Linked DNA regions of Rattus norvegicus. The protein of the gene in region 1 interacts with the protein of each later gene in a pairwise test. Links are inferred from orthologs where the notes say so. Each region holds a gene or a part of one and is shown on either strand. Other genes may lie near its edges.

Region 1 (5,531 bases):
TGCAATTTCTGTCAGGCACCAAGGACACATACCTGTCATACCAGCACTTTAGAGGAGGACGGAAGGTCATCCTTGACAACATAGTTGGCCATATCAGGCTACACGAGACTCTGTCTCAAAAAACCAGCCAGCCAGCCAGCCAGCCAACCAACCAACCAACCAGTCAAAAACCAAACCAAAACAACAACAACAACACAAAAACCCAGAATAATGAGAACTGGAGAGATGCCTCAGAAGCTCAGTAGTTAAGAGCACTTGGTATTTTGCAGGGAACCAAGGTTTAATTTCTAGCACCCAAATCACATCACAATTAGTTCCAGGGAACACATCATATATTATTAGTTCTAGGGCACCTGAAGTTGTCTTTACGCCTAAGACCTTCATGCAAGTAGCACATATCTTACACAAGTAGAATTTCTCTCTCATACACATACACACACAATAAAAAACATGGCCTAGTGGACAAAATACTTGTGTGAGTATGTGAGGACTGAAATTTGGATCTCTGGAACCCAAGTAAAGGTGGACGTGGTAACATGATTCTATAATCCCTAGGCTGCTATAGTTAAGATAGGAGAAGCCCTGGCAACTCTCAGGCCACCTACCCTAGTGTTTACAGCAGCAAACGACAGACTGTCTCAAACAATACTAGAAGAGCCAGCACCAACATCCGGGGATGTCCTCTGACGTTCACAGTGTCACATGGGCATGGTGTGTGCAGTACAACACAGCACAGTACACACACACCCAACCCCCCCCCAGAGAGAGAGAGAGAGAGAGAGAGAGAGACACACACACACACACACACACACACACACACACAGATAGCCGGTACCTGGCAACTTCACTGCTTCCAAAATATACTTCCAAAGTATACCCCAAATCTAACTACTCATCTTTCCCACCATTCTTTCCTTTGACTACCGTGTCATTATGATCTGGGGACATCCACAGCCCTTTTGTTACTCTTCCCAACCCCACCCTTGATTTGCAATCCAATTCCCATGACAGACATGTGGCTCTTTTCTTTTTCTCTTTTTCTTAAATTTATTTATTTATTATATATGAGTACACTGTAGCTATCTTCAGACACACCAGAAGAGGGCATCAGATCTCTAGAGATGGTTGTGAGCCACCATGTGGTTGCTGGGATTTGAACTCATGACCTCTGGAAGAGCAGTGAGTGCTCTTAACCGCTGAGCCATCTCTCCAGCCCCCCACCCCCCTTTTTAAATGTCTTTAGAAACAGGGTTTCTCTGTGTAGCCCTGGCAGTGCTGGAACTCACTTTGTATAGCAGGCTGGCCTTGAACTCAGAGATCCTCCTGCCCCCATCTCCCTAATGCTGAGATTAAAGGTGTGTGCCGCTATTCTCAGCTGATTTGCTATTTTTTTTTTAAAGCTAGGGTCTTACTATGTAGCTTCAATGGCCTCAGATTTACAATGATCCACCTGCCTCTGCCTCTAGTGCAGGGATTAACGGTATGTGCCACCACGCCCAGTTCTTTTCAAACTTGAGAGCTGGGAACGCAGTCTAGCACTGTGTAGCATGCTGGATGCCCTGGCCTTCACCTCAAGCAGTAACAGCAGCACCACTACTCACAACACAATTATAACAGCAACCAAGACATGCGCATGTAGCTAGAGATGGCTCAGCAGTTAAGAGTGTGCACTGATCTTCCAGAGGACCCTCATTCAGTTCCCAGTACCCACCTATGGGTGGGAGTTCACAATTGCCTGTGAACATCATCTCAAGGGAGACTTGATACCTCTGGTCCCTGCACGCATAACTAAAAATAAACTAATTCATTAAAGGAATAGCTTTGTATATTTAAAAAAAAAAATCTATCAAACTTAGACTCTAAGACAAACTGCTTGCCCAGCTGGCAGAGCCACGGTGTGCATCTCTGGTTGGTCTTTCTCCTTCCCCTGCTCACGAAGTTCCACTTCCACCTTCCTCCCTGCTTCTTCTTTTTTTTTTTTTTTTTTAAAAAGATGTATTCATTTATTATATATAAGTTCATTGTAGCTGTCTTCAGATACATCAGAAGCATCGGATCTCTTTACAGATGGTTGTGAGCCACCATGTGGTTGCTGGGAATTGAACTCAGGACCCCTGGAAGAGTAGTCGGGTGCTCTTAACTGCTGAGCCATCTCTCCAGCCCTTCCTCCCTGCTTCTTAAAGGCTGCCTTTCCACATGTTCCTCTGGGAATATGTGGAGGAAAGTGTTGACACCCAAGCGCTGAGTATGGAGACTACGGTTGGCCTGGTGGGTGCTGGTAGGTACTCAACGAGAGTACCTCAAAAGGCCTCACGGTTGGGGATGGAGAGATGTCTCGGTGTTAAGAGCAACGGCTCCTGGGGCTGGGGATTTAGCTCAGTGGTAGAGCGCTTACCTAGGAAGCACAAGGCCCTGGGTTCAGTCCCCAGCTCCGAAAAAAAGAACCAAAAAAAAAAAAAAAAGAGCAACGGCTCCTCTTCTAGCGGATCTGTGCTGGATTCCCAGTACCCAGATGGTGGCTCACAGCCATCTGTAACTCCAGTCCCAGGGGATCTGATGCCCTTATCTGGCCTCCCTGGGTACCAAGAATGCACTCTGGGTAGAACACTTATCACTAACACAAAATCGAAAGACCTTATGGGCACCTTGGCCAGAACTGGGGCCAGGTTTACTTACCATAGCAAAGAGGTTGTCATAGCCTTTGACCTTGGTAGGCACCTTGGAGAACTTCTGATCAAAAGCATCTGAAATGTTATGAGCTGGGTCTGTAGAAATGATGAGAACACTCTCCCGTCCCTTAGACAGCTGGACCGCCAGGCTGCAGCTGCACAAAAGAACGTGGGAATATGGGGGGGGAGGGGGATGAGCCAGTTTTGGTACTGGTGTTTGTAGCAGGATATGCAACGCCACAGAAACCTGGATCAGCAGGGACCTGAAGACCAATGTATGAGTGGGTCCCAGTGGGATCAAGCCTTACTTAATCCTTGCAGAGATCACCACTTGACTCTTTGATTTGGATGGGACGGTAACATTCAGTTGACTGATTGGTTCTCGTTGATCGCCTGCTTCGGCCTTTTCTTTTTGGCACTCCAAGGCACAGTCCAGCTGTCCAGCAGGCACAGACTACTCTCCCTCTGTCCCTCTACTTGTTCAGGAGGATGTACTTCACCTTTCAACGGACTCAGGCACCATAATCACGTGCCTTTTCCACCCCCTTTTACTCCTTCCCTCTCTGGCATCAAATGGAGGTTCGTTATACTAGACAGCTTGCTCCCTCTACTCTGAACTCCCTGGGGTTCGGGGATGGGGTACTGTCCGGCCGACTGAGGAATTTAAATGTTCCTCTGCACGCCCCAAGCGCTTAATTCACAAGACCCAAGGAAGGATAATCCAACTCAGGATGCTAGGCTTGCATTCAGGAGGTATCTTCAGCAGGCTGCAGTAACTTCCGGAGAGAAACAACCCCGTAGAGCCATGGTTAGCTCGCTTTACCGGGATCGGGAAGAAAAAGCCGGTCCCTGTCCTCCCCTTCGTCCAGTGGTACATCCCACCCGTCCTCTTGGCTCCGCTAGAGTCTCCTTACCTGCAGGTGGTCTTACCAACGCCTCCTTTGCCCCCGACGAAGATCCACTTAAGGCTACGCTGCTCGATGATATTGCTAAGCGTGGGTTCCAGTGGCTCCACGTCAGGTGCATCCTCGAACTCTTCTGCTTCAACCCCCCACCCGGCCACCCCCGCCGCCATCTTGGACCCGGCTCACGTGACTAATCGGGGCGCACCACGTGCTAAATACCTGCAGGGGAAATAAGTCTGCTACAACCCTGTGCAGGCTGGAAGCCTGACTTATTTTCGTCCTGCATTAACATTTAGGGATAATGAGAGCTAAATTTTCACCGTTTTATGCGCCGAGGGCTCACCTTTGTGAACTCTTGTCTGTAGTTTTCTAAGAATTCCCCTGTCTTGTGGACATATTGGTACGACCCACACTACTGCCCTTCATTGATTGGACCCTAAGTCTTGCGGCACTCTTTTCATTGGCTGAATCTTGTCTTACTTCCACTGGTCACGCTCAAGTCCTCGCAGGCGTCAGCCTCTCCTTAGCAACCAGGCAAACATCCTGTCCAAGATCTGCGTGAAGTTGATTCCATAGGCTCAGTTTCCTGTTGATCATTTCCCCTTTGCTTTCTGTTTTGGACCTCAGCATCTCTTCCGGTCCTGCAGTTATTCAGTTGGTTGTGAGCCACATGGTTTCTGCAGCAAGCCAATCACGAATGAACTGGTTATTTGGCTGAGGGTCGATTAAAAGCAATAAAGACTCCCATTTGTTGCAGAGTATGCAGACTTTTTCCCCCTGTCCCGGAACCCCCATGTTGGGCAGGAATGATTATCTGCAACAAGTTGTCCTTGTAGAAAGAACTTTAATTTCCGAAACTTTTGTTGTGGTTGGCGCTCTGCTTTCTGTGGGTGTGCTCCAAGTTCAGCAAATGCAATTTTAATCGAGTACCTGTCCTTGGAAGGAATACAAGAGTCCTTAATTCCTTCATGCAGTACGCGGCTCAAAACATTAAGTCTTAAGGACTCAGCCTAGAAATATTTTTCGGCTTCATTTTAGTGCTCCAGCTCTAAATACTAATCTTAGGCAGAAGGGTCTAGCTGTACGCAGCCAGCGGTATTCTTTTTTTTTTTTTTTTTTTTGGTTCTTTTTTTCGGAGCTGGGGACTGAACCCAGGGCCTTGCGCTTCCTAGGTAAGCGCTCTACCACTGAGCTAAATCCCCAGCCCGCCAGCGGTATTCTTATTTCAAGATAAGAGATTAAATTCAAAGACAGATGCCCAACCTGGAGATGCTTCCATTTATAGTAGGAGGTTCCAAGTTAGATATGCTTTGCAGACCTAGTTAAGGACTAACCAAGTTCCCAAGGGTTAATTGAGAGGCCGGCTACTTTTTTTTTTTTTTTCCTCTTTTTTTCGGAGCTGGGGACCGAACCCAGGGCCTTGCGGTTGCTAGGCAAGCGCTCTACCTCTGAGCCAAATCCCCAACCCCCCAAGGGTTAATTGAAAACAGTCCCCAAACAAGATCCATTTAGTTACAGAGTTCTGGTGGCCGACTGGGAATGTGCTCTCTCAGCCCTTAGAGGGGGCCCAGGTCCCAGACGATGGTCCCATTCTCCGGGAGCTTCTGTCTGTTTAACTAACTCGTGTCTGGCAGGATTAGGGATCCGAGGAATGGGACCGGCTTCTGGGATTCACCGACTGAGGTCCCCAGGTCAGAACCCTTTGGCCCCACCTAAGCCCCGCCTACTCTGCGTTGGCTTCTGGGTTCAGACCTGCCTTCCCAGCATGCACTGCTCCAGACGAAGCCAGTCCCGCGCCAAGCGCGCGGTGTGAGAGCCTTTCCCGAAGTCCTTTGCGCGGCATCTGGCCACAAAATGGCTGCCCGAGGGAGACGGGCGGAGCCTCCGGGTCGGGAGGCGCCCGGCCCGGCGGGCAGCGGCAGGAGCCGATGGGCTGAGTCGGGGCCGGGAACATCAC
Region 2 (5,615 bases), on another chromosome or scaffold:
CTAAAACTATGGGTCTCCCTGTGGGGAGCTGTCCTGTTTATCGTAGAGTATTTGGCATCCTATTTGGTACATCCTAGCCTGTACCCACTAGATACCTAGGTTTGACAACCAAAAATTTTTCCCCCTGGGGTTGTGGCTCACATCTGTGATTCCAGTCCTAAGGGGGCTGAGGCAGCAGAATTTCAAATTTCAAATTTCAGCCGAGACTACACAGTAAGACTGTCTCTTTAAAAGAAAAGAAAAAAAAAAGTTGCATGTCTTTGATCCCTGAATGTAGCATACGAGATAGAGGCAAGGGATCTCTGTGAGTTCAAGACCAGCCTGGTCTACATAGCAAGTTTCAGGCCAGGCACTGCATAATGAGATCCCGTTCTCAAAACAAAACACTGGAGAGATGAGGATGTGCCCCCAAGTCTGACAATCTGAGTTCAATCCCAGGGCCCCACAGAATCTCCACCATGACACAACAACAGGCATGCACACACACACATATGCACACACACACACAAACACACACACACACACACACACACACACACACACACACACCCCGAGCACACACCCACACAAAAATGTAATAACAAAGATCTTTTTTATCCCCAAAACAGAGTTTCTTTGTGTAGTCCTGGCTTTCCCCCAACTTTGTAGAGCAGGCTGGTCTCAAACTCCTAGAGATCCACCTGCTTCTGCCTCCCAGGGGCTAGATTAAAGGTGTGCGCCACCAGCACCTAGCTAACAATAAGAATCATTGAGCTAATTAGATCTATCACTCTGCCTGGGGTGATAAAAAAAGATTAGAACTCTCTCCTTCCCCAGTTAAGGGTCTCCCACCTTCTATCCTGCTGACCTTCATTGAAAGCATTAAAAAGCTTCCTTTTATCCTGTATCATGTGTTTCCCTAGTCTTTGTGAAGGGGGAACTCTTGCTTCTTAGACTCTTCACAGACTCAGATGTACATAAAGAAGCAAATAAAACCTCTCTCTCTCTCTCTCTCTCTCTCTCTCTCTCTCTCTCCCTCTCTCTCTCTCTCTCTCTCTCTGATACATTCCACCCTATAGGTAGATACATATGCCCTCCCAAGAAGTGACTACCTCAACATTCATGCTCAACCACGGGCAAGTGACTGCCCTTCCACTTTTCCTTACACCCAGTGTCAGGTGTGTAGTAGGGAGACAGCGAATGGTCAGTAGTGAACGGATGAAGGTGTGGCCCAAGCAGCAGGCCCAGCTTAGGTTAACCAGCTTCCCTGGGTTGACTGCTCCCTGCTTTCTCTCTGAGCTTAGCACTTAAGGGCAGAGACCCAAGACTTGTCCTGCCGGGATTTAAATTCTAACTCTAGCTCTTAAAAACAAAACAAAATGGGAAGGGTGGTCCTCCACACCATGGTGTGTATGTATGGAGATCAGAGGGTGGCTTGCAGAAAGTGGTTCCCTCCTTTCACCATATAAGTCCTGAGTTTAGGACCTCAGGCTTGGCATACCCACGATTTTACTGGCTCTCTAACTCTATCTTTATTTATTTTAACTTTTTGAGACAAGAGCTCATTACCTAACATACCCGAGCTGGCCTGTGACTTGCTATATTGGCCAGACTGGTTTTGAATTCAGATATCTGCTTGCTTCTGCCACCCAAGTGCTAGGATTAATTGTATGCAGGCTAACTCTGTATCCTATACCTTTTAGTATTTTTAAAGTTCTTTGCTGTTTGTTTGTTTGTTTGTTTGAAACAGGTTTTCTTTGTGTAAGAGCCCTGGCTGTTCTGGAACTTATTCTGTAGACCAGACTGGCCTGGAACTCACAGAGTTCTCCCTGCCTCTGGCTCCCAAGCGCTAGGATTAAAGGCCTGTACCATACACTGGCCTTTTTTAAAGCTCTCATTGCTATTGGGATTCCCTGGTTCAGTTTTCAGTGCCTTGTTTATTGTCCTCCCCACCCCAAACTTGATTAAAACATGAACTTGTTTTAATCACTACTGTTTATCTTCAGGGCGTGGGTGTTTAGCTAGTATATAGTAGGTGCTGAATAACAAACAATTAGTTAATGGCTGTCAGAGCTGCTCAGGTGATAAATTGGGGGTCTCTGGGAAGGGGAGGCCTGACTAGTAATAATGGCCTTGCTCTTTGCTGTTCTTTGTCTGGAGTTTTGGATGTTGTCATTGACCTACCATCCATACAGAGCACCTAAAGCTTGCCTAATGCTTCCACACCGTATTCTCACTTGAAATTTATAGCACACTGGTCAGGGCAAGGACTCCCAGTGTCATCGAGACCTTCAAGGCTATTGAGAATAGTTTTGTCCCCAAAGATGCCCTTGCTTGCAGGAAAAGCATACTGAACCATTCTTTTGTGATCCATCCAAATTTGGATGATGGGGTCACATGTCCGTTAGTGTCCAACACCATGTCTTCACACCAGGATCTCCAAGTCCATCTCAAGACACAGAAGATTCTTTGAAGGATTTTAAATTTTTTAATTACTTTTTTTTTTTTTTTTTGAGATAGAGTCTGTATAGCCCTGGCTTTCTGGAGCTCCCTAAGTAGACAGACACTAAACTGGCCTTGAACTCACAGACATCAGTTTCTCTCTCTCTCCCTCCGGCTTGCTGGGATAAAAGATAAAAGGCGTGTGCCACCATGCTCCTCTCTTGAGAGGATTCGTCAACACAGTGTAACACCAGAGTCTCTGAACTTTATAGTTTAAAGGCTCCCTGGCCGAGTCAGCCTCATCTAACACCGTTCAGTCTAGCTGTTTGTATCCTTTAAGTACCGGCTATTGAAATCTCTGGTCCCCCTGACCTTTCTTGTTGTTTTGCTTCTATGTCCGGACTTGGCCAGCTCTCTTTGTCTGGATTGATCTGTCTTGCTCAAGTCTTATTTAAAAGACCCAATCCTGACACACTTCCTCCTTACTGTGATTCGGTCTGGTAAGTAAGGGCCGGTCCACTAGCAACTCCATCACAACTGCTCTCTAAGGGGTGGGCCTTGGAAGGCTCAAGGATGGGAGGGGTGTGGGTGGGGTTCTCTTACAACTTGGATTGCTTTCGAATGTTCTGTCTTCGCTCTCAGGGGCTGAGGGTGGATTCTAAGAATCATGAAAGGGTCCATTTCAGGTGGTAACTCCCTCCACTGCCCATTTGTCTCTCTGCGTTCTCATTGGACCTACTGTTACAGGCGTAGGCTGGACCGGCAAAAGGCCATAAAGGCTCTTGGGAGAGGCAAAGCGGAGAGTGGAGGGCATTCACCTTCCGGGTGGGATCCTGAGCCTTGCCGAGCTCAGTCAGAGCGGGTAGCTCCTGAGCTGTGCCACGTAGCCGCAGGCCTGAGTGGAAAAAGAGGCCTGGGAGCGCTGAATGCACGGATCGCGCAGCCAGGATGCCCGGGGTGGTGTCCGAGCCGTGGCACACCCAAGACAAGCATCCGGCTGAACCCCTGCCCCGGGGCCCCCTGCAAGCCCCTCCCCACTCTGCGCCAGGCCCGCAAGGGACCGTCACTCACCGAGCCGCGGTACTTCTCCAGCGACACCAGCTTGCCCCGGATGTTCACCGCCTTGAAGTCGTAGAAGTCTTGCTCGGATTGCGTGCAGGCCGCGGCCCACAGGAGCAGCCACGCCGTCGCCACAGCCGCAACCATGGCTCACTTCCGAGGTGGCGACTTGGCGAGGGCAAAGACAAGGCAGACGGGACCCCAGCGTTGGGGGCGGGAAGAGGCGGCCCGCTGGGCAGGACGCGCCCCTTCGCAGATGCCTCTGCAGGCGCAGAGTCCTGGCTCTGGACCTCAGTTTCCCTATCTGTGCTCCGCCGGTCAGCTTCAGATCGCCGGATCCCGTTTTCTTGAGGCTGAGCCCAAAATTCGCTCAAGCTCAAACTCAAGATGCAGAGACTTAATAGGGAGATAGAGGAGAAAATCTTTGCGTGAGGATTAGCTTCTAGTGCCTGACCTTAGGCAGATCGCTCCACCACTCTGAGCCCCAATTTCTTCACAGGAATACACCTAGTTAGTGTAGAATTGGGAGTACTGGACTGTAACAGGATAGTGATGGAAAACAATTTGATAGCTGAAAGATGTGTACAAACTTTAGGTTAAGGGGTGTAGCGTTTCTCCCAAAGGGAGAAAGAAGTCAGACAAGTCTGGGAGACCAGAATCTAATGCGGTTTGAATTCCAGCCATGCAGGGGGGTTAAGGAGAGCTTGCCTATCTAGTCAATCACTGGATTAGTGTCTCCTGACAGGAGATGCAACAGGAGCCAAGAAGGCCCCGTATCTGGAGCAGCTGACAGTTAAAGGCTTTGTGGACACTAACATGGCTAGCAGCTGGATTCTCAAGTTAGTGACAAGAGACCTGGACAGCATGCTACAGCATTTCCCAGGCTCAGAAATTGCCAATGATACCCATAAAGGGGCCAAGCGTCCGGTGGTGACTTAGTATGACTCATTTGGGGTACGGGTTCTATGCCAAGTTCAGCTTTAGGTGTCTCTTGTGCAGTGATGAACAAGATGTGTGCTTTCTATTCAGAGGGAGATAAGGCACCAAATAATTCACAGTTAACTCTAAAACTGCTGTTGTAGCAAGTACTGTACCACAGTACAGTAACAAAGCTGAGGGTGTGTGTGTGGGCAAATGAAAGGAGGTTTGAACTGAATTCTGACAAATGAATAGAAATTATTCTGGTAAAAGCAGGAAGCTTGTGCAGAGGTTTCCAGGGAGAGTGAAATATGATACACTGGGCAACGAAGGCTAGTTTGGCTGACAGGAAAGAACGCTTGGGGGTGGGGGGAGGCGGGGGGAGGGCTGGGGAGGGGAGGTAGGAGTGAGGTCAGGCGGCCTAGTGGGCCACAATAAAGTTTACAGGTTTACCAGGCATGATAGCCAATGCCTTTAATCTCAGCATCTGGGGGACAGAGGCAGGCGGATCTCTGAGTTAGTGGTCAACCTGGTCTATGTACATAGTACTAGGCCAACTGTGTGTGACTTCATAGTGAGACATTGTATTAAAAAAATTACAAGCTTTAAACCAAGAAATGAAGTTTTGCTTTTTGATTCTGCTGCTTAAGCATCTTAGTGAGGCCCACCTATAGCAGATAGGTCCCTCTGGCTTTCCTGTGATGCTTTATACAGGAAAAGGCAAGAGCAGATGCTGAGGAAGAAGAAACTGTGGAGCTTTAAGGCCCAGTGATGGTCACAGCAGAGAATGTAGTGAGAGAGAAATGGGATAGTTAAAGTCAGGCAGGCTGAGCAAGTGAAGGCTTTAGAGTTGGGGTGGGGCAGTGACTATGAAGGCACAGAGTCTGAGGGGAGGGTTTGGCTGTTTGAATTAAGAAGGGGTGAGGCAGATGAGTCTGGGGGAGTCTTCAGGGGCCATCTGGGGAAAGGCTGTGAGTACCACCTCACAAGGCTACCAGATGTGTACACAAGGTGACATGGTAGGATTTGAACTCCCAGCCCTCAGATTTCAGAATATGCTGTCTTTCTCTACCACCAAGATGGCTTCTTTCTTCAGGAGCAGACAACTTAACCAGCAGAGGTGGGGTACAGGACAAAGTTGCTCCAGACAAGGTGAAGGCCTAAGCAAGCTTCCCTACTCTTCTGTCTCCTTATCCCAACCTTTTGGGAGTCTTGAG

The links. The genes of interacting proteins can lie anywhere in the genome.
Region 2: the proteins of Get3 (region 1) and Gpx7 interact in binary tests that used the Homo sapiens proteins (3 or more experiments, as listed by UniProt). The two-hybrid records come from large-scale screens. The link is inferred for Rattus norvegicus from reciprocal best matches to the Homo sapiens genes GET3 and GPX7.

What each region holds. Positions count from the first base shown.
Region 1 is NC_086037.1:40,033,200-40,038,730, reverse strand, and holds the start of Get3 (ATPase GET3), read right to left. Parts: upstream 3,755-5,531; 5' UTR 3,745-3,754; coding exon 3,584-3,744; intron 2,825-3,583; coding exon 2,677-2,824; intron 1-2,676. Other genes in the region: Trir (telomerase RNA component interacting RNase), read left to right, coding at 5,429-5,531.
Region 2 is NC_086023.1:128,378,041-128,383,655, forward strand, and holds the start of Gpx7 (glutathione peroxidase 7 precursor), read right to left. Parts: upstream 3,686-5,615; 5' UTR 3,628-3,685; coding exon 3,493-3,627; intron 1-3,492. UniProt on the Homo sapiens protein: It protects esophageal epithelia from hydrogen peroxide-induced oxidative stress. It suppresses acidic bile acid-induced reactive oxygen species (ROS) and protects against oxidative DNA damage and double-strand breaks.